2 linked regions of the Kluyveromyces lactis genome follow. The protein of the gene in region 1 purifies or fractionates together with the protein of each later gene. This does not show direct contact. Links are inferred from orthologs where the notes say so. Each region holds a gene or a part of one and is shown on either strand. Other genes may lie near its edges.

What was found.
Region 2: the proteins of APS1 (region 1) and APM2 purify together in Saccharomyces cerevisiae (affinity purification with mass spectrometry; 4 studies listed by BioGRID, with this or other methods). This does not show direct contact. The link is inferred for Kluyveromyces lactis from reciprocal best matches to the Saccharomyces cerevisiae genes APS1 and APM2.

What each region holds. Positions count from the first base shown.
Region 1 is NC_006042.1:2,118,756-2,120,987, forward strand, and holds APS1 (Aps1p), read right to left. Parts: upstream 982-2,232; coding exon 511-981; downstream 1-510. Other genes in the region: KLLA0_F22792g (uncharacterized protein), read left to right, coding at 28-390; DPH5 (diphthine synthase), read right to left, coding at 1,374-2,232. UniProt on the Saccharomyces cerevisiae protein: Component of the adapter complexes which link clathrin to receptors in coated vesicles. Clathrin-associated protein complexes are believed to interact with the cytoplasmic tails of membrane proteins, leading to their selection and concentration.
Region 2 is NC_006042.1:2,364,748-2,367,839, reverse strand, and holds APM2 (Apm2p), read left to right. Parts: upstream 1-882; coding exon 883-2,406; downstream 2,407-3,092. Other genes in the region: NFU1 (Nfu1p), read left to right, coding at 1-103; MCO14 (4a-hydroxytetrahydrobiopterin dehydratase), read right to left, coding at 254-781; KLLA0_F25410g (uncharacterized protein), read right to left, coding at 2,466-3,092. UniProt on the Saccharomyces cerevisiae protein: Component of the AP-1-related (AP-1R) complex, an adapter protein complex that mediates of cargo protein sorting in clathrin-coated vesicles. AP-1R has a specific role in SNARE SNC1 sorting.

The sequences.
Region 1 (2,232 bases):
GAAGGGGTTTTAACTAGAAAGAAAGTAATGACGCTAATAAAGATGTTTGCAGCTAGACAAGCCATAGGAAGATTTGCATTGATACAGAACAGAAACTTTCATGCTACGCCGATGAGATGTTATAAAAAATGGAATGAACTAAAGAAGGATGATAAGCAGGAGTTCATCAAGAATTTCGTTCTTTTGTACAAAGAAAAGCATCCATGCAGTAAGAGTAACGTAATGTACAGGGCGTTGGCCAGTGAAATGGATGAATACGATGATACCCCATACGTATTTGGTGTTTTGTACAATGAGATTAGGGCTGTTGAAAAAGGCGAATCTACTGATAACGAGAAAGGTGTAGGTGCGATGGGGGATGCAGATTTTGTAAAACTATTGTACAAGTAGAATTGTTGAGTTTCCGTACATAAAGAAAGAAAGGATAATATATTGTACATATTCACAATTTAATTTAAATTTCTATTCATCTCGGTCAGTATCACGTCAATTGCTTGAATGCATGCATTCTCAACTCAATACCCTATCAAGGTCATCATTTGATTCAATTGCATCCATGGCCTCCACAACATGTATAACTTCATCTTTACTAGTTTCTATTATAGATCCGTCACACATTATCATTTCATCCAATATGCTGTATGCCTTGCTAAAATTGAATATGATATCTAACTCGCAGACGTTCCCAAAATATCTATCCATAGTTTCCACAAATCTGTGTATAATTTCTAAAGTCAACAATTCGTTGTCCGAATCCAAATCAATCCCTGCAATGAAGTATAAACTGGCATATTTCTTGTACACGACTTTGTGATCTTGATATTCTAGAATATTGCACATTTTTGACTTCCTGGACAGTACGTTAGTCGTCACTTCCCTTAGTATTTTATGCTTGTACTTTATATCGAAGGGTTGATACCATCTGATTAACCTAGTCTTGCCTTGCCTCGACGTGAGAAGCATGTACTTAATCTGTGACATTTCAATGACCTTTTTTGTTTATAACGAATAGGATAGCTTTTGTCTCTTAAGCTCGGTGGTTGTGGTATTTAATGCCCTTGTTAATCGTTTATCCGTAGTTTCTCGGATACACCAATTGAAAAGTTGTAGAGCTGAATAATAACCTTAATTTTAAAACATCAACTGGGACAGAATTAGACTTAAACTTTGATTCTAGTGACCTGTTATTCTTTGTTTGTTTTCTTTTGCTTACATGCTGATTCATTCGATTCAGTTACGTTATTACATTCATGTTATATTAATAGTTAATATAACGAAAAATGAGAATCACCGCAGACGACTTTGCATGAAGCTGAAGAAGCGGATACACAAAGGATACATGCAATATATAATTTACATATCCATGACCTGGCCTAATCTTCATCTTCTGGAGGTGGAACCCATGCTGGTGGTTTGAAATATTCTTGATCACTGGCGACATCTTGCTTGAATTTTTCTCTATCGTCACAGAATTCGAGCAAATACTCGATTTCCAATTCATGGGTTTGCCTACCGAGTATAACTAAAGAATGCAATGGTTCACCAGAATCATATTCGGCTAGCTCTTTGATGGTACCTGCTTTGAAGGTTTGGCTTGCAGAACCTAGTCTTGAGATTGCTACACAGGGAGTATCAGGAGTATATGCCTCAGTGCCTCTTGTTTCTTCAATTTCCAATAGTTGTTCACAACATTGTGCAATACTCATGTATCTTGGAGGCTCATAAATGAGTCTTCCACGAGCCATATTCTCTATACTCTGTTCCTTCACTTTGATATCTAGAAGAACCAAGGTGTGCAACCCGATTTTCCGGTTTTCCCATATCTTGTCGTACCAGGAATCTGGTCTCCAACTATCGGTGAAAAAGACCATAGAGATCGTTTGACCAAAATTGTATAGTTGCAACCCACATGATCCTACTGCATTCATAACAGACGCGTTATGGATGACTTCTACTGGAATATTCCTTTGCTTGGCACGCAACACCAAGTCAGTATGAGTGGTGGCTCCAAAAACGTCACCGACAACCAAAAACGCAACATCTTCTTTATCGGCATCACGGAGAAGTTCTTCAGCTCCCGATTCGACAAGTTCCCTGTCAGCTAGTGTAACTTTCTTGCCATAAAATTCCTCTAGTTCTTCTAGAGAAGCTGTCATCAATATGGAAGTGTAGTGCTCCAAGTACACTCTCGAACATTGCTTGATGGCATTCAAGCCTCTGACGGTGATATCT
Region 2 (3,092 bases), about 250 kb from region 1:
CGAAGAAGTAGAGGACGTGGTTCAGATCTTGGATCCTGAGGAGAAGATTGCACTTGCGGAGTTCGAAAAACTTGAGAAGAAGCTGGAGAGCAGTAAGAGATGATTGCAATTGCCCAGTATGTCACTTCTTTCTAGCAATGAAAGAAACGTACAGGCATAACTAAGACTAAGCAAGGAATGAATCATGACAGCATGTATTTGCAAGGTATTATGCAAAACAGAAGTACACTATTATTTATTTATTTAATACATTCTATTTATCCCCTATTAGGATGCCCTTCTTGGGATCGATTTGTTTGATGTATTTTTCAATCCGAGAAGCCATCATGATATCAGCATCGGAAATACCAGATACATCATGCGTAGTGAGTCTGAACTGAACTCTGTTGTAGGTAGTAGTAATTGTAGGATGATGGCCCCATAAGTGTGACCTCATGGCAACTTTGTTCAAAAAACTCCATGTCTCTTCAAAATCTCTGAACTTATAATCTCTAACCAATTCATTCTCCATTAATCTCCATTTAGGCAATTTTCTGAGTTCTTGTGTCAGAAGTTTTGGTGGCAACAGCACTGGTACCTGTTTTACTATCTTATTGTACATGTCTATACTATTCAGTGCTTGAAGAGTGGCATTTATTACCTTTTCCAGCATCTCTCTATGCGTAGTTGATAGAATTCCAAGATGTAAGAAATCTTTATTAACTAAAAATATTGAGAAGAAACAAAACACAAGAAGCACCATTTTATCAAAAGTGCTTTGAACAAACACCTTCAAAGCCATTTATTCTAGCATATATAGTAACTGCAAACCTAACCGAGACCTGAAGTAAATTTAGAGTGCCGAGTTAACTATCAACTGATGGTCAAATCAGCCTTGTCATAATGTCATCATGTTTCCTTTTGCTCGATGAGACGTATGAACCGCTAATAAGAAGAGCACTACGACCGATCCATTTCCTTGATGATGCTATACTTCAATTACAGAATAACCTTAAACATCATAAGGGATGCACAAAACCTATATTCGAAGGCAATGGGTGGCATTACGCTGTGATAACTCGTGATAACCTATATTTCGCTATGATAATGCAAGTGAATAATAGTGTTTCTCCCATAAGTGTGTTACATTACTTAGATGAAATCTACCAGTTATGCAGGAAATTTATGGGCATGAAGCTTAACAAGCTCAATGTACGAGATAACTTCCATTTAATTTTCGAAGTTATTGAGGAATCATCCGATTATGGTATCATACAGGTTACAAACTATAATATTATACATGATTTCATAAAGGTAGAAGTTATCAAACCCGACGATGATTCCGAGAATACAGCCTCTGAAAAACATGAGCTGCCACCAGGTGACCAGGATGAAACATTCATAAACAGTTATATTCTTCGAACGATGACATCTGCTGTCTCATGGCGTCCTAAGGGTATCCATTACGGTAAGAACGAATTCTTTCTTGATGTAATTGAGAAATTAGAATTCATTATGGATTTCGAGGAAGGTGTGGTCAGAAATAATGTAATCAACGGAACAATAATATGCCGGAGTTATTTGTCTGGTATGCCTCAATTGAGTATAGGATTGAATAAGTTGATGCAGAAGAATGTACACTTCATGAAACGTTTAAAATTCCATGAATGCGTAGACCTGCATACCTTAATCAAGGAAGAATCTCCAGTTATTAAGTTTATTCCACCGGATGGAGAATTTGAGCTTTGTAATTATAAATTGAATAGACCGCTACTTGATGAACCAGTTATAAAACTACAGTCATTCGGGCTATCCCAAAAACCTAGAAAGAACCAAGAAACCCAGGATAAGCTATTGTTGAAAGCTGCCATAACTACGCATTTCAAAGCTCAGGATAGTGCAAAGGAGCTTTTAATTAAAATTCCGATAAAGTCAGTTATTCGAAAGTGGAATATTGACCTCGAAAAGCCGCCCCTGTTTAAAAGCGATATAGGAGATGTTGTGTTCGACATAACAGCGGGTTCGATAATTTGGAAAATTAACAATTTGAAGGGTGGTCATGGAAACAAGAATTATGGGCTTAAATGCATGTTTGAAATATGGGACCGCCAGATTCATGAAGCTTTAGAGGTGCAGCTACGAAATTCCATGGACCCACCACCTTTAAGGACTGGCCCCAAACTAGAGAGAATTTGGGATCAGTACCATGGAAAAACTACGGAATATGATGGCAATGAGAACCAAAAAGAAGATGTAGACAAGTTCGCGTTAATTGCTATGTCGTTTGAAATCCCTTATTATGCAGTGAGCGGTTTAAAAGTTGAGTATTTCAAGATCGAAGAACCTCAATTAAACTACCAATCTTTCCCATGGGTTAGATACAAGACAGTCAATGATAACGAATATATATACCAGGTTTCCATTTAGTTAAAATTACCAAACTATATAGAGAAAAAGAATAGATTCTTTTCCCGTCAGATAGATAATTACGTGAGATCGTCGGCTATTTCTTTCAAAAGAGCAACTTTGCCTTTGAGGTCTGCTTCTCTCTCGGCATACGAAATCTCCCAATTATGCAACAGTAGTTGTTTGTTGCTTTCAATTCCTATCCTGCATTCCTCCCTAATCTGTAATTGGAATTGCTTTAACATGGAATACCAGGTATCCTTTACACGTTTCAGGCCTAAAACAATACCTAACGAAGATAATGCTCCCATCGAGTAGGCTGTACATAACTCTGTTACAAATCCTCCAATGGAAACAGCTATTAGTGGGAATTGCAACTGTAAGAAATTCAAGTAAACTGCCTTATTAATTTCTTTGTGTAAAACAGGTACTTTGTTCCTAGCATAATCAGGGTCTATAATGGATAGCTTATCCTGAGGTATGCCTAAAGATCCATAAATATGTGATAAATTTTGAACCATTTGAAGATCATTCGTAATGTTACAAAGTTCGTGTAATTTCAACGATAATTTGGATTCGGAATATGTGTAAACTTTCCAAAGGGAAAGTTGTTTGGAAGCAAAATCAGATAATAGAGGTTCGATAGATGTTTGCAACTCTTTGTGTGCTTCTCTGGACCACTCTTCTATAGTACCGTTAACTGACGC